2 linked regions of the Tribolium castaneum genome follow. Each later gene encodes a partner of the first gene's protein in a complex. Links are inferred from orthologs where the notes say so. Each region holds a gene or a part of one and is shown on either strand. Other genes may lie near its edges.

Region 1 (11,477 bases):
TTTATGACCGCCGTAAAAGGCGATTTCTTCGGCGTTTGAAACAATTCGAGAGTGCACATGACGTAAATAACCCTTTTTCTCAGCCTCCTGGGCCACAAGTTGGCCAAAACGTGGCGAAACCAACCGTAAAATCAACGCTGAGAAAATCACAACACCTGAGATGATGGCGGGGCCTGTGATCAAGTTGGCGTTGCGACTTTTGACCAAGTTGGCCAACGCGATGGCCATGAGGAGGATGTCGAACATGGGCTTGGTGATCTGGCCGTAAAGGTGCGAAACGGTGCTGGCCACGGTCTCAATGTCGTCGGTGAGACGCTGGGCGCAATTATCCAGGCGTCCGTCCAGGACGGTGACCTGGAGGAATAAATGCGGGTTGAGGTGTGACACATGAAATCACACCAGAATTAACCGACTTAGCGATTGGTTAATTTTCGCCCTGAAGAAAAGTGACAGGGGGGGGCAAAAATCACCTTTTGCACTTGACTTGTCGGAATTCGACCATGGTGTGACCCATCGTTTCAGGGTGAAATTGACTGGCTAAGCGAATAGTTAGGGTTTTTTGCCGAAAAAAATTATAGAGCCCTCGAAAAATTGATTTTCAAAGTTAGGGGTCAAAAATTTTCGCATTAAATTTATTACTAAAAATAACTAGTAGATTTTGGTAATAAAACGTTTGTTTCAAACATTATTTTTGAGATTTTTGAAAAAACAAAATTTTGGTATGCTTCGGAAAAAAGCCATAGTGTGACCCATCGTTCCAGGCTACAATTTCCCGCCTAGTCGATTGGTGCTACTCACCCTGTAATAACTTTGGTTCCTGAAGTATAGTTGGTACGAATGTTCCACTAATCGCGTCCTGAAGCTCAGCGCAATCTTGCTCTCCAAATATTTGATCATGCTGTTGATAAAAGTGGCCGGAATTGCAACAGCAAACCACTTAACCAACTGTTTGATAAAATTTTTCGGCTCTTTTCTTACGATATATTTGACAATGGCCCCCTCCAAGTTCGCCACATAAATGCTCAAAAACGTCCGCAAAAACAAAAACGTCGTGTGCCCTCCCAGAAGGCCAATCTCGGCACAAAAAACACTCGGAATCATAATCCTCGCCAACTTGATAAATTGCAAAATAAATTGTAGATTCAGGGCCGGGATGGTATTACGTAAGCGGTGTCTTTTGGGCAATTTGTTGCTTTTGAGCCCATTTTGGATATTTCTTCTGACTAGATTATTGTTGATGTTTACGTCCGTTTTACGTGTTAGAAGAGGATAGGCGATTTTGTACGTGTAGGCAAAAAGGGCCGCGGCCACCACGGCCCCCGAAAGCGCCCTTCGGTTCACATTCAGGGCTGCCTCGCCCTTGGACAAGAATTTTGACACGACCGTTGGCATTTTTCACCAATCAAGTTGGCATTTTCCTACCAAAAAAATTAAAACTTCAAAAAAAAACACACAGTGTGACACATCGTTTCAGGCTGGAATTGACCAATTAGGCTATTTATAACATTTCTTCAATGAAAAATAGTGTGGGATTGGAGAAAAGGGCGTTAGCACGTTTCTATATACTAGAAAAATGCAAAAATTATGTGAAATTTTGATCAGTGTGCCCAACGGGTTAATCTAAAGATGATACATTTCAAAATGAACCTAAAATTTTCATAAGTTCTAAAATATTTTTTTTTTTTTTTTGAAATAAAAATGTCAAAAAATATGCAGTGTGACACATTGTTTCAGGCTGAAATTGACCAATTAGCTGATGTGACATCGGTTTGTTAAAAAAACACGCACGGTTTCAGAAAAACGCTTCTGGGATCGAAAAAGACAAAAAACTTGAAAACGAAAAAAGTTAAAAACGTTTGAATGACAAATATGTGACAATGTTATTTCCCCGTTTAATTTTTCTCCGATCGCCTCAATTAATTCCCTCGCCTCTGACCGTGAATCAAAAACCCGTTTTTTGACGCAAATTAACCTAATATCAATGTCGAATTAACTTACGTGCGACTTCGAGGAAAATGAATTGAAAAAACCGAATTGTCCAGTTTTATTGCCGAACTTTAATCGACGAAAATTTTATTCGAATTCTTACTTGAAACGTAAAACATGACCGGATTATGTGAAAGTTTATTTTAAAACTAGGCCTTGAAACGCAATTATATAATTTCATACACATATAACACACGAGATTTATCCCAAATTGGGCAACTACTCCACATTTCAGCCAATTTGCGAATTGCTAAACGCAAACTTATATAATTCGTTCGAAATTCGCGCCCATTTAATTGGTTACTAAGGCAATCGTCATGGTTACGACTGGTTGCCATGGCCGAAAATTCGAATTCCGTCAGCTGGTAATTAATCATTAATCCATTACCAACCCAGACGCATTAAAAACACAAGTCGCTAATTGTTATCACACGTGATAACAACAATTTCGGGGTTAAACTCCAAAGTTGAGAGGTCAATTGATGATTATTGGCCAATTTGATAAAAATACAGCCTGTTACGATCGATCAAAAATATATTCATCAAAACAAAGAAACGAGTGGGCCTTGGATTTCGTGCATAGCTACCTGTGATAAAAAACCGGAAGCGTTGTCACGGCTATCTTGATGTTACACAAAGAGCCACAGCACACTAGTTTTTTGCTTACAAACTTGTTACATATTTCCAATGGTTACAACAACAAATGACGATCGCCGCTTGACTAAAGAGCGAAAGTGACAGATAACGTAAAAAATCCTCTGACAGATGATTGGAGGGGAGATGAGGTGACGTCACAGAGTGAAAGCAGTGGCGGCGCGCCGACTTGATTTTTTTCGCGAGAATCTGGCCAAATGGTACTTGCTGTTGTATGGTACTTTTACTTTCGATGGGTCTTTAACTTTCTCCGATGGAATAATAAAAGTAAACAGTTGGCTGTGATGGTTATGGAAATGCTGTTAAAAAAACGTTGACCTTCGCCTAATGAATTCGAACGTTGTTAACACAAACAATTAAACGACAATCAATAATTAGTGCTATCTTAATTATTGTTTCTCGAAAAAAACAAAAACAAGCAGCGCCGCCCCTGATTATTTTAATAAACGAAGAAAAGGCAACGGAATGGAAAGGAACTGAAAGTGTGGCCGTTATTACGAAATTCGCACGCTCTAGAAAAAACAAAACAAATCGAATCGCTAATTTTGATCACTAAATCGAGATGGCCCTGAATGCCGCCATCATCAAGTGGGTCATGGTGGTAACAAACGACAGTCGCACGTCCATCAATAAAACAATATCGTGTTTTTTTGCGCTTTCTTCCATCAAGTCATCGACCTTTAAACACCTAACTTTCGATTTTTTTTTTCATTTTTTTCAATTCTCATTTTGGGTTATTATAAAAATTCCCGAGTATTCGGGTTATCGTGGTCAAGGTTGGCCACGACCGATGGTAAAAAAGCGGTTTTTGCTTAGAAAGTTACGTAGAACTGAGACTGTTTTGTAATAATTATAGTTGGCGGTGGGTTGCGTCAAAGCAGGCCGTGACTGGTCACGTGATTTTGACAGTTAAATATATCATACTGGAAAAAAATAATAATTACAAATAATCACATTAATGTTAAACAAAATAAACAAGAAAATAATGGTGGTAATATTTGAATTATGTAAAAAATAATTTTTGTGGAAATTAAAACGTCGGAAAAACACTATGGTGTGACCCATCGTTCCAGACTGAAATCGCCCAAATAGTCACATATTGGCATTGTTTTGGAAAAACTTGCACCCAGACTCAAAATGTCAATTTTTTCGAGGTCCCGAGTAAAAATTTAAATTGTTTATGATAAAAAACTGATATAGTGTGAGATAAGACACGCAAAAAACTGAATTCGGCAAGTAATTTTTGAATTATTTGGAAACCAAATTTTTTTTTGAATTTAACACGTTGAAAAAACCCTCAAGTGTTACCCATAGTTCCAGACTGAAATCGTCCAATTAGTCAAACGCTGGCGTTACTTCGCCAAAAAATCCACTCGGGTTCGAAATAACAATTTTTTCGAGTTTTTTTGGGTAAAAAAAATAATTTCTCCAAATAACAAGCGTAAAAATTGGTAAAAAGCAAATTAGTAACATAATTTTTAAATTATTGGAAAACCAAAATTTTTTTTTGGAAATTTTTGGAAATTAGAATCTGTCGTAAACACATAGTGTGACCCATGGATCCAGGCTACAATTACCCGTCTAATCGTTTGGTGTGGTTACTTTGGCAAAAAAAAAACACGAGTTGCATACAACATTATTTATTGCATCAAGTCACTACTACAAATCGACATTTTTCAAATTAGACGACGACAATTTCGGTAACGAATCACTCTCCGTCGGTATAAAAACCCCAATCGGTTTAATCTGCGTCCTTTTATCCCTCAACTTTGACAATTCCAACTTAAGCTTATCCAAAATTGCAAAATTCGGCGAATTAATCGCTGCCTTACTTTGCAAAAGCGTAATTTCTTGCTCTTCCAACTTCTTCTCTTTGAAACTTTTCACCGATCCGTTGCCATAAAGTCGCAACAGTGACCCCCATGACGTAATATGTGGGTGCAAAGCCTGGAAAAAACCCTAAAAACCCGACAACCTAACAAAACCAAAACCCCTACTTGGAGAATCGCTTGCGACGCCCGCTGTTTCCCATCTCGCTTGTTTTTACACACGACGGTCGCAGTGTGCTTACCCACCGTCATGGTAAATTGATTTTTTTTATTTTTTAACGTGTTGCCTTGGTAACTGATTTGGAGGTCATTAAGGCCGAAGTTACGCTGCAGGCAAGTGAGGAGGATATCGTGCGGCGACGGCTCGGTCGTCTTCGCACAGAATTCGGCCACTCTCGGGTCCTCGATCCGAATTTCGTCGAAAAACTAACAATCGAAAAAATATACTTTTTCAGAAACCAAAAAAACATGTTTTTTCGATTTTTTTAGAAAATGAATTTTTTTTCCAAAATTAAAAAAATTAATTTTGGAAAAAAATTTCGAAATTACCGACAAGTCCTGGTCCTGGTCGCGACTGGCACTCGACCCCGTCTTGGCATCAGTCGTGATTTTGGACTTCATTTCGGGAATTAAAATTTCCAAGGTGGCTCTGGCCGCCTCCGACTTCGCTTGTTTTTTACTCGTTCCATAGCCAACTCCGTATTGCATATCGTTGATAGAAACCGTGGCAGCGTAAGGCGTTGCCGCGTTTTCTGCAACACAATTTCAAAATTGGCGCCAAAAAAAACACCGGTATTTTACCCAACTCTGTAAATTTATACGTCGGTTGTTTTTTCAACGCATGCTGGACGTACTCATGCAAAATACAAACGTACGATTTCCCGTTCGGATTCATAATCCACTCCTTCTTAGCGTTCGAATTCGTGTTCTCACTCGCTTCGTTCGGCTGAATTGGAAACGTGATCAATTTGGTGCCGGCCGGTAAATTAGGTCTCTGTAATTGTTGTTCGTGTTTGCGCTTTTTGGTGAATTGGCGGCGTTCCGACCACGATTTAAAGCGCATCACTTTGATGGTTTTGAATTGGAAGAGTTTCGACGCGTATTTGCGCACATCTTCAGGTTTTAGGTTTTGCGATTCGATGTTTTCTTTAACGGTTTCGATGCGTGCGTTCGGTAAGTCGCTGCTCGATTCGGGCGTTTGCGTTTTTTCCGAATCAAGTGCGCGACGGTAGCTGAGGCAGGGGATGGCGCTTAGGGGAATTTCGTGTTTCTAAAATGGGGTTTTTTCATTTTTTTTTTTTTTTGAGGAAGGGTCGGATCATAATGTGCATCAAGTAGGCTGTGGCAGTGTGATGCGGACTTAATTTAGCTAGTTACTAGTAAAAACTAGTGAAATAATTAACTATTTATTTGTGTTTTTATAGATTCAACATTGAAAACAGTAAAAAATATGAAAAATATTTAGTCAAAAAACAAAGAAAAATAAATCGGCGAAAATCAATATTTTATATTCAGTTAAAACACCAAGGAAAAACTTAATTAATTAGTTTGATAATGAATTAAAATCACTAAAATTAATAAAAAAATAAGCAAACATTAAAAATCTTCATTTAACAACGAATTACTCATTTATTAATTAAAATTTCAAATTAAAAAAATTTAAAAATATTTTGGTCAAAAAACAATTACACAATTAGTTAATTAATTATAATTTTTTAGACTAATTACTAAAATAAAATTTAAAAAAATAAAAAACGAAATAAAACACTGAAACGAAAAACTAAATAATATACACAATATTTAATTATTAAACTATTTTATAGACTGAAAAAATACACAAAAAATTAAATATTCAGTCATAAAACGAATAAAAGAATTAATTAATTAATTTTAATTAATTAATTAAATTAAAAAAAAATTAACGTTCGGGTCGAATTTAACGTCACACGTACCTGTTACGACACTCGCCTCCGGCTCGTGCCCTAATCAGCCTACTTCGATGCACTGCAACATAAAAAAACGTACCCTAACTGAACCCGGGCCCAGAAAATAGGGTTTGGAAAGCGTGCAAACCCTTGAATTTTTGTGCAAATAAAGGGGCATTCCGCTGTTGTGTGTAACTTGAATCCAGCCTTCCGGCAACACATCGAAATGATTCTGGCTCTTTTCAATCAACACCACCTTGTCTTTCTCCTCAAAGGGCTGCTTGGCTGCACTTTCATCTACAACCGACAGTTTTTCATGGGGGCTAAAAAGTGGACGTCCTGTTACCCAAACCCGCCTCCGACGCCTTGCGTTTGTTGTTTTTGAGCGCGTCTTCGAGCATTTTATCGATTTCCTCATCCGGAATGTCCGAATCGCACGAGAAGGACTTTTCCGAGTCGGAGTCTTCGGTCTCGTCCAAAATGTGGAATTTTCGCACGTCATTCTGGCTGGAATAGGGGCAGATCTCGAGCGAATCGGACGTGAAATCGGGGCTAATTCCCGTCAGTTTGAGCGCGTTTATGTCCGGTTTTTCCTCAACCACCTCCTTCTTCACGCTGGCCATGTTGAATCAGTTTTCGTACGGTAACAATTAAAAGAACATTCCAACTATTAGATTAGCAAAAATTGAGATGTTCTTTGAGTAGTACCGCAGAAAACCACTGGTTTTTAGCACGATTTCGGCACTAAAACGTCCAAAAAACGCCGATTTTTTGCCAAATTACGAAACGAACTCACCTGCAACCACCATGTTGAAAAGTCGGTAAAGCAGGAACCATAGAATAAGAGAGAGGAAGAAGCGAATCTCTCTGTCTACCCCTCGTTTTTTCGCGAAAGCGCCACCTAACCTGGGGAGAACAAACTAATTCGATAATAGCGGGAAATTCAAACAGGACATTTTATTTATTTTCCAAATTTAAAGAATTATAAATGTTAAATGTTTCTGTACTCATGCACTGTTACGAGACATTTTAATAAAAAAGCATCTGTAACAGTTGCAATAGCACAAAAACATTTAACATCGCTTAATAAAATGAAACAAAGTCTTTCCAATAAAAATTTATTAAAAAAATAATAACGTGCTGGAATGTATAGGCAAAATTAATTTAACTCGAATTGTTGTTCATAAACATACTCAGATGTACTAATATATGTAAATACATTGTCTAAATATACACAATGATCCAGAGAAACTGAGTATGTTGGCATCAGATTAAATTATTGAATTGCTACCTGAAAGTGTACACTATTGGTATCCTTTAAAATTTAAATTCAGATTGCTAACAGACACAGTATTTCGGGATCAGTCTGTATAAATACATCAGTTTTGTTGGTTTGATTACTTGTCTACAGACTGTTCAGAAAAGCAAAAAAATATCAAAATTTTGCTTGTAACCTTTGACAATAGTCCAATTTTTAAGTCCCTTAAGGCTAAATTTAAACAACTATTTTTCGAAATTTATTCGCGGTTATAAGGTTTACGGACGTTTGTAAAAGCGGCCCTAACACGTACTTTAACAGTTTGATGTCAAAGTTCTTGATAAGTTTTGAAATTTTTTAAAAGTAATCTCGATTGCATCATAGTTATTAGTAAATTACTCAAACACAAGAGAATTACAAGTGTGCTAAAATTATTTTAAATAAAAACCCACATATCTGATATACATAACTATCACTGGAAGTTAACTGATTAAAACTACCATGTAATCATTTAAATTTATAATAATAGTAGGCTTTAATATTGATTAACTTGTATGATACTTGTAGAATACGTTTTTTCGCTTAGTTTCTAAATTAAGCAATCACAAAAAAGACAAACCTTGTTTTTTTAACAGGCATTGGCGTTATAACATTATGTAAAACAACATAAAAGATTAAGACATAGAGGGACATGGCGAATTTGAAAACCTTGAACCATAGCAAGTCCTAAACTCCCTGCTTTCACAAAATACTAGCTTCGCAACTACAATAAATTTATTTATTATTATGATATACCTATTAATTACTGCACATTATATTTAACTCGTCTTCATGGGATTTTCAATTACATCCCAAGAACCGTTATCATCTCCAAGGACGGTCTTCATCTCCTAAGTTTGTGTGATCCTTCTTGGTGTAATATGATTATATTAATATCTAGAAATCGCAATTAATTGTTGTATAGACACCTTTCAATAACGTTTACCTTAATTTGCCTTAAGTTGATTCATCCTTCATTAAAACACTGTCATTCACACTATACACTAGATTCAAATAAAAGATCCATATAAAAGTAGAGATGTTTGATCACAAAAACATCCAAAAAATCACGTTAAATCGTTTTCTGAAGTCTTTAAAACACATTAAAACAAAATGTCGCCAAAAACCGCAACGACAGCAAAATAATCGGCTGTTGATAAATCAAAGAATTAAAAAGAGAAGTGTGCGCACGTCGATTATTTTTAAGTGAACCTTCTTTACTTTTAGCAAAATGTGTGACAGATTCCTTTAAATTTACAGATTTCTTTGCAACTGACGCGACCTCTAAGCTGGAGCACACGAACTATTTTAGCCATTTCCCCCCTTTGCCCCACCCCTCCTAGTGAACACATAATTTGTATACACTTTCAGGGGCCTGGCAGGAACCAGTCACCTGATTCACCATAATCAAGACAAAAACAACACCATTATCTCTAATTTTAATTAACACAGAGGACGCAGTAATGATTACCAATTTTGGGATAATTAGTTAATTGCCGCAAAACTAATTTTTTTTGGTATTTTTTTCTATTGCAACAGATTACCGCTAGGTGGCGTTTTGCAAATGCGGTTAACTTTTATTATTTACGCACAAATCAAACAAAAATACTTGAAATTAATTGTGGTTAACTCGTTTGTACTTTAATAAAAAACTATTAACACATTTGTTTTTTATTTAAAACCTTGTCCACCGTCACGATTTGTTACAGGTTTCTTTAATCTTTTTTGCCGTAAGATGGTGCTGCTAAAAAATAGCCTAACAAAAAAAAATTTGAAAAACGAGAGAAACAATTAACTTATCAATTATTTAATTAAAATTTTATAGACTGATTGTTACACTAATATAAAAACAAATAAATAAAATAAAAAGTCAAAAAAACAGTTTACAAATTAATTTAATTTGTTAAACAATTACAATTCTAAAAAACCTTCTACTACGAAAAAAATAGAAAAAAAACATTTGATTTTTATTGGTAACCAACACCTTGACTTCGTCCAGGTGATTATTATAACCCAATTAAAAATCAATTAATTACAGAAACCTGTAATTGCTATTTAGAAATCAGAGACCTTACATGTAATTCCCCCAATTAGTGTCAATTATCTTTGACGTAGTATTTACAAGTCTTTAGATAAATTACTGTAATTGAACTACAATTGACAACTGTGATAAATAAAATCCCCTAGATTTGTAATCAGAATATCGTTAACAATGAAACCAAATTTCCAACTTTTATTACTCTTACTCAACAACACGATTAATAATTGTTTGGAAGAGCTTGACCAAATTTCGGACAAATCCGTGCGTTTGGTACTACTCCAAACTGTCAATGACGTCACCTTATCCGACCACCTTGACGTCATTACCAACCGCATTGGCGGTACCAATAGCCTCCAAATCGAGAAAAAAAACCTAAACGATAGTGGTACCACCCCTGATTTTGGTACCACCACAACTCACGTCATCGTGACACGTGACGCCTCCACCCTTGATTTATTTCTCGACACTAGACCGGAAATAGTGGTACCACTGGCCCGCCATTCATACAAGATTTTTTTCACTTGGACGAGTGGTACCACTGCGATTTTGCGCCGGTTTTGGGCGGATTTTGGCGTTTTGGACGTTTGTTTTTGCGGTGGTGGTGGTACCACATGTGGTGGTACCAACCAACGGGACTTGCACCGACTTCCGTTGAAAATCGCAATGTTTGTGCGGTTTCCCACCGTCATGACGGTGGTACCCGAACTGTTACGAGCCAACCCGATCTACAAATCGAGTGGGCTGGTCGGTTTAGACGGGTGTCTTTTGTCAACTTTGGCGGGTTTTTTGAATTTTGATTTTACCACAGTTGGGGATATGGGACACGAGGATTTTGGGTGGGTACTACCTAATGGTACCGTGACTGGTAGTTTGGGTCAAGTGGCTGGGAACCGCGCCCAGATCGGTACCAATGGTCGCTTTATCACTAATTATGGTACCACCGATATCGAGTTTACGGTACCATATGATAGCGATAAGATTTGTGTTTTGGTACCAAAATCGCAAAAAGTACCACAATGGTTGATGGTCTTCACTTGTTTCAATGCCATTGCGTGGGCTTGTATCTACGGTACTTTGGTCGTTTGTACCATCGTTTGGTACCGAGCCAGAGGCGAGTGTCGCGTTTTTTGGGAAATGTTCAGTGTGATTCACGGGATTCCCGTCAAGATCGTACCAACTGTTGGCCAATCAATTTTCTTGTTTTTTTGCATGGTTTTCAATGTCATTATTTTGAGTTTGGTTCAGGGTTCGTTTTTTAAATCGTTTACAACGCCTACTTATTTTCGCGAGATTGACACGCTTGAGGAGCTTGACAGGTCTGGTTTGCCCATTGCTAGCAACTTTTATTCGTTCGATGGGGTTGGTTCCAAAACCATTGCCAACCTGAAGCGGAGGAAAGTACCATCGGTACCACACATCATGGACGCGGTGGCGTACAAACGCAATGTTGCCAAGTTAGAAAGAAAGCGAGATATTGAAGCGTTCATTAAAACGCATTATCTAGACAAGGATGGTACCCCACTTTTGCATATAGTCAATGAATGTTTGACGTCTTATTTTATTTCGTATATAGTACCCAAAGGTTCCGCCCTTTTGGCCATTTTTGACCACGTTATTTTGCGCATTGTTGAAAGTGGATTGACCTTGAAGTGGTACCAAGACGTTGAATATACCGAAATGTTGGTAAAACTGCAACATTTGAACCAAAAAAAGAATTTATGGGAACCTTTTTCTCTTTATTCGTT
Region 2 (11,587 bases), on another chromosome or scaffold:
GAATGACTGTTTGGTTCACTTTCTTTATTGGAAAATTATTACAAAGACATTGAAAAGCCTACCTTTTGGCATAATTTACGTTTAAATGTATCAGCAGTTGTTAATCTTTATTGTAGTTTTGTAGATTTACCGCAGCATTTCATGATTTTTTCAGTGGAAAATTCTAATCTAAAATTCATAACACTTCACTAATTTATTGGTTTCTTGAGCCAAACTTTGTGTTCGCTGTGATCCATTACTTATAATCTTTAATTAGACAACTGTTTGATAACACTTTGTAATCAAAATTTAAATATTTTTCACTTTTTATCCACTTTCAAGTTCCAACAATAAACACTTTATACCACGAAAAACTACAGAACCAAAGTCAACGCTAGTATTTACCACCACGTACTTTTAAAGTAATTCTCTCTAATGTAAGCAATTAACACTATACACGCAAAATTGTTAAAGAATTCATTAAATGTCAATTAAATGTGGAATTACGAAAATTTCGTTACTGTTTTCGACATAGTTCAAAAGTCATCACCAGAGGGCGTCTAGTTAATTTTATTTCCGAATAAAAATAAATGATTTTTTTGAAACGGTTTCCTAGGAAATAATTCCCCGTGTTGGCACATCTACACATTGTGATTTTTTGGATGAATTTTAATTTTTTTAAATTAAAAAAACTGCTAAAGCCTGATAGAAAATTAAAAAATAATTATTCATTGTTTTTTAGAGAACTATTACCTAGTGTGAAACATAAAAACATTAAAAAATAATGAAAACTAAAGAAGTTGGTAGCTCCAGATTTTTTTAAATATGACTAGGAATTTTTTCAACATTTTTCCCGTAATCTGCACTTGCTTCTCAATAACGTATCACTGAGTTGGTGCGCCAGTTCTTGAGCATTTTGTATATTACTTACATTTATCCCTCCATCTAGGAACAGCGCCCCCATCAGGGCCTCAAAACAGTTGGCCATGGCATGCCTCAGCTCCAAATCGTGGCACAAATCCGACCCATGCGCATACAGCATGAACTGATCCAACTTCAGAGTTTTAGCCAAAACGGCCAAGTGTTGATTTTGAACAATCGCCGCCCGATATGTCGCCAAGCCGCCTTCCTCCAAATCGGGAAAAGTGTAAAACAAATGAATGGAACTCAAGAACTCAACCACAGCATCGCCCAAAAACTCCAACCTCTCATTATGCGTAATATTCGACTCGGTCTCCTGCTGTTTCCCAAACCTCGACATGATATTAATCAACGTATTAATCCCGCGCTTCCGCGTATTCATATAATGGATCCTCCTATCCCCATACTCCGGCTGTCTAATCCCGCAATTCGTGAGGGAATTCCGGGCATGGTCGGGATTCGTCCCGAAATTCTCCCGATACGAGGGATGCGTCAAAGCCAACTGCAGTAACGCCCGATTCTTAAACTTGTAATTCACCGACTCTTCCAGGATATTGAGCGAGTGGTGAAACCTCAAGTGGCACACCAGGACCGGGATGAGCATGGCATGCTGGATTATGTCGCACATAATCCCAGTCCGGTAAAATCCCTCGGCGGACACGGCGACCGTGATATCCCGTTTCATCTTGCCTTGGGTTCGCATTTCTTGCAGTTTGTTTTCCTTGGATTCGAGTTTGCGTTTGTCCTCGAATGTCGGCTTCGACATGTTTGCCAATAGGTGGCGGAATTTCACGTAATCACGCCAGGCTTTTTGATAACTGGAAAGAGAATTTTGGGTTTTTTGAAATGGTGCACGGACGGTAGAGGGCATACTCGGGGTTACCGGCGTAGCTTAGTTGCGGGGGGCGGATGCCGAAGTGGACGATTTCGGGGAATTTGTAGTCGCCTGGCTTTTGGAGGTCAATGTTGCGGTCCAGTTGGTCCACGCGGACCGAGCAGGGTTTCTTGCCAGGGTAGGTCACCACCATGCCCTGAAATTTGAACCATTTTACTATCTTTCATTTTATTTTATAATTTTTTTAATTACCAACTATTTTTATTTTATTTTATTATTTTCTTAATAACCAACTATTTTTTATTTTATTTTATTATTTTTTTAATAACCAACTATTTATTTTATTTTATTATTTTCTTAATAACCAACTATTTTTTATTTTATTTTATTATTTTCTTAATAACGAACTATTTTTTATTTTATTTTATAATTTTTTTAATAACCAACTATTTTGATTTTATTTTATTATTTTCTTAATAACCCCAACTATTTTTTATTTTGTTTTATTATTTTTTTAATAACCAACTATTTATTTTATTTTATTATTTTTTTAATAACCAACTATTTTTTATTTTATTTTATTATTTTTTTAATAACCAACTATTTATTTTATTTTATTATTTTCTTAATAACCAACTATTTTTTATTTTATTTTATTATTTTCTTAATAACGAACTATTTTTTATTTTATTTTATAATTTTTTTAATAACCAACTATTTTGATTTTATTTTATTATTTTCTTAATAACCCCAACTATTTTTTATTTTGTTTTATTATTTTTTTAATAACCAACTATTTATTTTATTTTATTATTTTTTTAATAACCAACTATTTTTTATTTTATTTTATTATTTTTTTAATAACCAACTATTTATTTTATTTTATTATTTTCTTAATAACCAACTATTTTTTATTTTATTTTATTATTTTCTTAATAACGAACTATTTTTTATTTTATTTTATAATTTTTTTAATAACCAACTATTTTGATTTTATTTTATTATTTTCTTAATAACCCCAACTATTTTTTATTTTGTTTTATTATTTTTTTAATAACCAACTATTTTTTGTTTTATTTTATTATTTTCTTAATAACCAACTATTTTTTGTTTTATTTTATTATTTTCTTAATAACCAACTATTTTTTATTTTATTTTATAATTTTTTTAATAACCAACTATTTTGATTTTATTTTATTATTTTCTTAATAACCCCAACTATTTTTTATTTTGTTTTATTATTTTTTTAATAACCAACTATTTATTTTATTTTATTATTTTTTTAATAACCAACTATTTTTTGTTTTATTTTATTATTTTCTTAATAACCAACTATTTTTTGTTTTATTTTATTATTTTCTTAATAACCAACTATTTTTTATTTTATTTTATAATTTTTTTAATAACCAACTATTTTGATTTTATTTTATTATTTTCTTAATAACCCCAACTATTTTTTATTTTGTTTTATTATTTTTTTAATAACCAACTATTTATTTTATTTTATTATTTTCTTAATAACCAACTATTTTTTATTTTATTTTATTATTTTTTTAATAACCAACTATTTATTTTATTTTATTATTTTTTTAATAACCAACTATTTTTTATTTTATTTTATTATTTTCTTAATAACCAACTATTTTTTATTTTATTTTATTATTTTCTTAATAACCAACTATTTTTTATTTTATTTTATATTTTTTTTAATAACCAACTATTTTTATTTTATTTTATATTTTTTTTAATAACCAACTATTTTTATTTTATTTTATAATTTTCTTAATAACCTATTTTTTATTTTATTTTATTATTTTTTTAATAACCAACTATTTTTTATTTTATTTTATTATTTTCTTAATAACCAACTATTTTTTATTTTATTTTATTATTTTCTTAATAACCAACTATTTTTTATTTTATTTTATAATTTTTTTAATAACCAACTATTTTTATTTTATTTTATAATTTTCTTAATAACCTACCATTTTTTATTTTATTTTATTATTTTTTTAATAACCAACTATTTTTTATTTTATTTTATAATTTTTTTAATAACCAACTATTTTTATTTTATTTTATAATTTTCTTAATAACCTACCATTTTTTATTTTATTTTATTATTTTTTTAATAACCAACTATTTTTTATTTTATTTTATTATTTTCTTAATAACCAACTATTTTTATTTTATTTTATTATTTTCTTAATAACCAACTATTTTTTATTTTATTTTATTATTTTCTTAATAACCAACTATTTTTTATTTTATTTTATTATTTTTTTAATAACCAACTGTCCGAGTTTTTAAACAAAATTTACCAGGTAAAAATGGTACCAATTATTATTTCAAATAATTCGGCACCAGTTTAGTTAAAGAAACTTAATTCTGGTCGATTCCTTGCTTAAAAACGACAAAGGTGTGTCAAGTTTTTGCTACTGAGAGGATTCAGAAAACGGTTAGACATTTTTTCACATAAAATAGGTAATTGAAGTTGCAAATGCCTTTAGAACACAATAATTTGAAGCGTAAAACACAAAATTCAAAAGAATTAAATTTTCTTAGTTATGGGACTGAGTATAAAGTTATTCGGATTTATTTACTTTGATTTCATCAGCGTAACTCTGCCACTCATACTGCGTCATCTTGATCATATCCTCCAGGTCCTTCTCTTCAATTAACGACACTGAACTGTCCAGAAGATACTGCAGTACTTCGTTCATTGCTAAAATTTCCTTGCCATTGTCGGGCAATTCGCGCACAAACCGCGGCATGAAATGAAACTGGGAACAACCGTCAACATCACCTGCAGCCTTAAAATCCAAATCAACCAGTTCTAGAATTTCTCGAAATAAATAATCATCTAAAAAAAAAAAAAAACTAAATTGACAAAACCTAAAATTTTGCACCAACTTACGAAACAAATCCAACTCTCTCACGGTGAAATTATCGGGAATTTTCTCCTCAATATACAAGATTGTGTACTCGATGTTAAACCGGATCACCTTACACGTGGGGAGTTTTTCCAACGGAAAGTGCGAGAACATGGAAAAGCCCTCGAAAATGAACTCGTGCTCGTCATAGTGTATGATTGTTGGCGTTTTGATTAAAAAGTTAGTCGGGGGTGAGATTGTTATGCGGTAGTGGTACAGTCGCTCGGCATTATTGCTGTCAGGAACACATTTCTCCAGGTGCTTTTCTCCGGGATAGATCCCGTGCCGGATCCCGGATTTCCGGGACTTGATGGAACAGCGGCAAAGGGGGCCGTCGTTCATCTCCCCCGGATCGTTGTACCACATTTCCGGGTGCAGGCGGTCGGGGTGTTGTTGCTTCCTCTGCAGCTCCTCCATCGTGCAGTCTTCCTCATCGGTGAGCTCCTCCTCCGAGCTTCCCGAAGAGCTCGATTCCTCAGCTGAAATTTCCAGTTAAAAAATTTTTTCTTCAATGTAATAGAACTCACATTTGTGTTTGCATAACCTGGCCCGGTTTTTCCGCGGCGGCGGCTCATATTTCGGCTTTAACTTATTAACCTTCGCCGCTCTCATAACCAGGCAATCGTTAAATTTATCACAAAGTTGCGTCAGTCGTTTCGTCGCCCTTGTAACCCTCGCATTACTCTCATCCTTCCTGTAGTACAAGTCCGAGGGTGTGGACCTCGTCCAGATATTCTTCTCCTGCTCTAGCACCTCCTCATGGTCCACTTTCGCCAACTCGTGGATCTTATTCGAGACCTCTTCCCGCGTCGAACAGTAATTTTTCCGCCACTTGGACAAGATCAGGTCGCGTTCTTTGACCGGTTTTTCCCGGGGGCGGCTGCGACTGCGGCTACGTTTCCGGTAACGTGAATATCTAGGCGACCGGGAACGGCGTCTCGGTGAACGCGATCGCTGATTGGTGGCTTTTTTCTGCTTGTATAATTCCAGTTCTTGGCTGTAGTCGCTCGGGGGCGGCGGGCGGTCTTTGTAGCGTTTGGGGGGCTTGTCTTGTGCGGGGTACGGGGGGTAGTAGTTGTAGTGGCCCATGGGCGGCGGCGGGACGTTGAAATTGGCGGGGGGCGGGTATGGGGGCATCATGGGGGGGTACGGCTGCTGGTTCCACTGCCAGCTGGGCCAGCGGGGGTCGGGGGAGGGGTAGTTCGGGGGGTAGTTGACGTATTGCCCATAACTCGAATTATAGTAGTAAGGGTCGCTCATTGTCTTCAAGACTATCACAGACAAGTGGATAGGCGTGGATTAGTGAAGATTATCCTATAAATTATATAATGGTGGAAATGTAAATTATTAATTGTGCATGGTTTTCTTACATTTTTGGTTGAAAAAATTGTTTAATAATTGTAGCACCATGATGTTATTTTTTCTATCAATAATTTTTGGTTACCAAAGAGACCACCGATTGGTTACTACCAACATATCGGAAACTTGATGTAAATATCCCTACTTAAAAATTCGAAAAAAGTCGTTACAAAAAAGACAATTGGCGAAAATCCCAGTTTTATTAGTCCTGGGCCTGAATATTATTATAAAATCGTAAAAAAAAATATTTTCAAGCTAGTAGAATAACTGAAAAGGGAATCATAACCTCTCCTTGATTATGCAACTAGTCATACAATACGTTTTTTCAATTAAATTCATCAATATGCAAGTGCATATCTTATGTTTCAACTAATTAAGTAATTACGCATTTTTGTTTTAGTTTTTCGGCATTTTTAATTAACATTTTAAATTTTGAAGGTTATCTGTCAAGACATAACCTCACATAAAAAATAACCTCTGAACATTTTTAAGTTATCTCTTATCAAGTCAATTATTTAATTCCTAACGTCACACTACTTGCTTTACACTCGTGAGTGCCGCCCAGTTATCGAATCTGATTAGATAAGCACAAGTGTGATTATTATTAAATAATAGCAACATAACTCAGCAAAAATTTCGGTATGATGGCGCACATGTTTTGCTTTATTTGTTACATCACGAAATAACGAAATGTTTACCAAGACCAAAAATCTGAACCTAGTCTATGTCCTGTCTTTTGTGGTAAGTGAAACCAGTTAATTATCACATTATTCAAGTCAATTCCAGGACCTGTTTGCCGTGGGCCTCACAGTGCCCCTATTCAGCAACCATTTACGGGAGTTAGGAGCTTCCCATTTCACTATAGGCCTCCTAAACTCGCTATACTCAGGACTCCAAGTCATTTCAGGCCCCATTGTGGTATGTACCCCACAAGTCAGATTTTTCCGTAAACAAATTTTTCCAGGGCAGTTGGAGCGATGTTAGGGACCGCAGATCCGTTTTACAGATCACTTTACTGCTCTGCAGTCTCGGCTACGTGGCCCTGGGGCTCACAAACTCACTTTTGGTCATCGCAAGCGTTCGAATTTTGCTCGGTAAGTTTCCAACCAATCGTAGGCATTTCCCCGACCACGTGACTGTTTAACCAGTGGCGCCAGCACACTTTCAAAATCGCATGATTACAGGAGTTACAAAACACACTCAAAGCATTTGCAAGGCTATTATAACCGATTTGGTGCCCCCTTCGGACCGGGCCAGCGCTTTCGGCCGCTCCACAGCCTTTGGTTCCCTCGGTTTCATAATCGGGCCAACGCTGGGGGGCCACTTAATCGAGCGAAAAAACGGCTTTTTCCACGTGTGTCTTTTCACAAGTGTGCTTTTTATCATCAATGTTGGCATAACTTGCGCAATTAATGAAATCAAATCACCAAAAAAGCGGCAATTAAATCATGAAAGTGTTCCTATTTTTGCAAAACTTGGACACGAGTTTAACAAGTCGGTGAGAGACATGGGGGAGATCGACTGGGGGGCTTTTTGGGACGTGTTCCTGCTACGGTTTATTTTCGGTTTTTCGGTTACGATGTATTTCTCGCAACAGTCGGTTTATTTGAAGGAGCAATTCAAAATGGCGCAGCGCCATGTTGGTTACACCATTTCGTTTTTTAGCGCGTCTGGAATGGCGGCCGCTTTTTTGCTACATTACATTAATTATTTCTACAAAGGGGACGTTTCGTGTTTGAAACGTCTAACTCATTTTTTTCTTTTAATGACTTTGAGTCTTGTTTGTTTGTATTTTGCGCCAAATATCGAGTTGTTTTTGTTGGTTTTGGTTCCCTTCTCGTTGAGTTGTACGGTTTTAAGGATAGTTAGCATGGAATTGATGCTCAAAAATGCGTCAACTACTCACAGGGGGTCTCTATCAGGGACTTCCAACAGTATTATGTCAGTTGCTAGGTTTGTAACTCCGGTTACTTCCGGGTTAATTAGTGATAAGTTGGGGGGATCTAGTGCTCTGCTTTTTACGGCTGTGCCGCCCTTGATTGGGACGCTTGTGTCGGTTTGGATGAAAGTCAGGAATGGTGATAAGAAAAACAACTAATTGTGATAATGTTAGTTAGTAAAGATTTTATTTTATCTTGTTTTATTTGCGTCCCAGTTTCTTGTCCTTTTCCCTTATTATAATTTTACAAAAAATAATTATTCGAGTGAATGAAACTAAACCTGAACTGAATAATACAGTAATTACTTCATTACGAGTCGAATTAAAGGTTTAATAATAAATTATTAAAAATGCTCGGCTCTTTTTTTCATCATTGCGCATTAGCTACGTAACACTTGTGCAAAATGCATCATAAAAACATACAACCAATGACAGGTATTCTAATACTGAAGTACCGAAGCTCAAATTTAGTTTCAGACGACTACTTGAAATTTATCAAATTTGTGTCAAGCGATATTTTTCAACTGCTCCCAGTTAAAATATTCCTGGCCGTTGTTTTCCTAACTCATGCCGTTTTGGATTTGTTGACAATTTATTTCGTACTTTTTGTGATAGAGCCGCACGATTTCATCACTTATATTTCAGTGTTTCTGGGCGAATTTTATGCAAGTTTTTTCATCGTTTGTGCTCTTTTTAACATAAATTTTTAGCCACTTTTTGCAATTGTAATGTTACTGTTTCGTGGAAAAATAACCGACAGTTTGAAACACAAATTGGCAATGTGGACAATCACTAGTACAGACGAGAAGACTCAGTCGGACATAAAACGGCAAATAGTTTTTTTCAACGGCTTTGTTGTTCTAAATTCTGTAATAATTTCGATTGCGAGTTGGTTTTACGCCGCCCGGTTGTCAGACGATGTGAATGCGTTTTTTGCACTACGTTTGATCCATGAATATTTTCCTAAGAGCATTTTTGAAGTTATTTACAGAGTCACAAATTTTGTGCTTGGCCAGATGATGTGTGTTCACGTCCACCAGACGCTTTATTACACCCAACACATCAATATTCAAGTGCAGATGTTTAAAAAAATTATAAGAGATTTGGAAAACGAATCGAAAATTGAACAACAGCTGAAATTCTGTATTGAAAGACATGCCGAATTTATTAAGTGGGTTCCCAAAATTTTTTTTCGCAAAAAAATTAATAACAAATTTCAGAATTATAACGTTAACGACTAAAGAACTTCGTGGTGCGTTTGTCGGGTTTGCATTTGGCGGGCTTTTGTTAGGTGTTGCGGTTGCGTTTTACATTTTTTCGGTAAGTTATTTGAATAATTTCCCAATAATTGAGATTAAATAAATGTTTAAGGGGCTTTTGACTCCTGAGTACTATTTACGTGTAGGTGCTATTGGTTTAGCTAGTGTGGTTAATTTCGCGGTTACAATTTGGTTTGGACAGTCTACTGAAAGTCATGTACTATTTTTTTAAATTATGATTGTTTAAATTATTCGAAAAAAATTGTAGCTAGATGAATTGATGTTGGCAGTCGGTGAAGTCCAATGGTACAATTTCAGTCAACGTAATAAGAAAGTTTATTTAATTCTACTGATGAATGTTATGAAAGGACGGAAGTGGAGGGTTTCTGAAGAATATTCGGTCAATTATCGATTGGGACTAGCCGTAAATGTTACTTAATCACTTCTTAACCACTTCTTTCGGTTATTTCCAGATTGTCAGAGGCGTTTATTCAATCATTTCTGTCACAAGTTCGTACAAAAAGTCTTGAAATGTTTTGGGTAATTAACACACAGGTACTTTGCTGATTTATTTATTTGTAATATCTAGTGTTTTACAGTTTGTTTTATTTTTAATTCTTACGAATTAAAACAGCTTCAAAGATTCATTGAGAGTTTTTACGGTTACATAATTATTTTATTATTAATTTTACGAAAAAATATGAATCAAAAAACTTTTTTAAGGCCGTGATTTTTTTTTGTTTTCCCAAAATATGTCGGGATTTTTTTTTAACAGAAACCCCAAAGTGAGATTTGTCGTTTTTTTTTCTTTTTATCTAAAGCTCGTATTAAATGAAACAATAATTAAGTACATTACGAGTGACAATAAAAAATAAAAAAGGTGGCGTATTTAATGAAGGTATTTGGAAATAAAATTAACTAGACGCCCTCTGGTGATGACTTTTGAACTATGTCGAAAACAGTAAAGAAATTTTCGTAATGCCACATTTAACTGACATTTAATGAATTGTTCATCAATTTTGCGTGTATAGTGTTAATTACTTACAATAGAAAGAATTACTTTCAAAGTACGTGGTGGTAAATACTAGCGCTGACTTTGGTTCTGTAGTTTTTCGTGGTATAAAGTGTTTATTGTTGGAACTTGAAAGTGGATAAAAAGTGAAAAATATTTAAATTTTGATTACAAAGTGTTATCAAACAGTTGTCTAATTAAAGATTATAAGTAATGGATCACAGCGAACACAAAGTTTGGCTCAAGAAACCAATAAATTAGTGAAGTGTTATGAATTTTAGGTTAGAATTTTCCACTGAAAAAATCATGAAATGCTGCGGTAAATCTACAAAACTACAATAAAGATTAACATCTGCTGATACATTTAAACGTAAATTATGCCAAAAGGTAGGCTTTTCAATGTCTTTGTAATAATTTTCCAATAAAGAAAGTGAACCAAACAGTCATTCGTTATTCGTGTTTTCCTCGTCATCTCTCATTTGTCAACATAAGTTTCTTGCATCATAGATACAATAATCATTCCGCATATTTAATGCAATAATTGTAAAGCCCCAAAATTCGTACAACGCTCAAAATATCCGAATAAACATTTTCCCGCCATTTATGGTTACTGTTTTCGACCTAGCTTAGTGGCGCCCTCAACGGTAATTTTACTTCCGAATAGTAGGTTATAAAATGTAAAATATACTATTATCAAATTTTTCTGAAAAATATCGCGTTATTTTCACGAGTTTTTACAAAAAAATGAAAACACAAATTATTTTGTTTAAAAATATTTTATTGTGAAGGTGTTGCAATTTTCCTAATCCTGTTTGATTCTTGCTTCCGTTTCTTGTTCTTGCTCCGTCTTCATGAACCTTTGGTTCAGCAAATAGACACAAATGACCATTGGCAACAACGAGAAAAATTTAAACCCATAACCGCCAAAATACTGGCACACAATTCCGAAAAAAATCGGTCCTATGACATTCACCAAATAGGCAATGGTGTTAGACGCCTCAAAAACATCAGGTTTTAAACTTAAACCCAAGGCATCATCGTCCAAGAGCGCGTTTACCAACATAAAGCAAAAAAACATCGGTATTAGAAGAAACAAATAGCACTCATAACTGGGGGCATAGTACAGCCCTGGTAGAAGAAACCCGGAGATTAAGAGACTGTGCTCGAATAACTTTTTCTTATTCTGGACTCGTTCCTTAACAAATGGTACCAACATAGAAGTTGCAAAAAGCCACATGTGTTGGTAGGCGATTGAATAACCAACCACTACCGTGCCGAGATTGTAATTAAAAACGAGCAAAAAACAAAAACGGACGAAATAAATCGAGAAAGTTGTGGTGTAGGCGGCTT

The links.
Region 2: the proteins of pasha (region 1) and drosha are in contact, whole or in part, in a crystal structure (PDB 5B16), measured with the Homo sapiens proteins. The link is inferred for Tribolium castaneum from reciprocal best matches to the Homo sapiens genes DGCR8 and DROSHA. Residues at the interface, in NP_073557.3 of Homo sapiens: Asn728, Ile731, Leu732, Lys734, Leu735, Gln736, Glu738, Met739, Lys740, Leu742, Ala743, Arg746, Arg750; in NP_001369437.1 of Homo sapiens: Leu984, Leu987, Phe988, Thr998, Tyr999, Thr1001, Ala1002, Ile1003, Gln1005, His1008, Phe1069, Asp1073, Leu1074, Glu1076, Val1077, Trp1078, Asn1080, Pro1082.

The regions. Positions count from the first base shown.
Region 1 is NC_087401.1:17,247,943-17,259,419, reverse strand, and holds pasha (microprocessor complex subunit DGCR8), read right to left. Parts: upstream 7,236-11,477; 5' UTR 7,191-7,235; intron 7,139-7,190; 5' UTR 7,018-7,138; coding exon 6,741-7,017; intron 6,692-6,740; coding exon 6,495-6,691; intron 5,740-6,494; coding exon 5,271-5,739; intron 5,222-5,270; coding exon 5,019-5,221; intron 4,896-5,018; coding exon 4,638-4,895; intron 4,588-4,637; coding exon 4,300-4,587; 3' UTR 4,265-4,299; downstream 1-4,264. Other genes in the region: Abcd1 (ATP-binding cassette sub-family D member 1), read right to left, coding at 1-354, 799-1,392.
Region 2 is NC_087400.1:1,737,890-1,749,476, forward strand, and holds the start of drosha (ribonuclease 3), read right to left. Parts: upstream 6,187-11,587; 5' UTR 6,039-6,186; intron 5,983-6,038; 5' UTR 5,929-5,982; coding exon 5,196-5,928; intron 5,148-5,195; coding exon 4,653-5,147; intron 4,599-4,652; coding exon 4,339-4,598; intron 1,932-4,338; coding exon 1,774-1,931; intron 1,719-1,773; coding exon 911-1,718; intron 1-910. Other genes in the region: major facilitator superfamily domain-containing protein 9, read left to right, coding at 6,718-6,768, 6,814-6,945, 6,992-7,121, 7,176-8,125; uncharacterized protein LOC107398775, read left to right, coding at 8,695-9,137, 9,187-9,286, 9,338-9,442, 9,494-9,649, 9,699-9,755; uncharacterized protein LOC103314529, read right to left, coding at 11,040-11,587. UniProt on the Homo sapiens protein: Ribonuclease III double-stranded (ds) RNA-specific endoribonuclease that is involved in the initial step of microRNA (miRNA) biogenesis.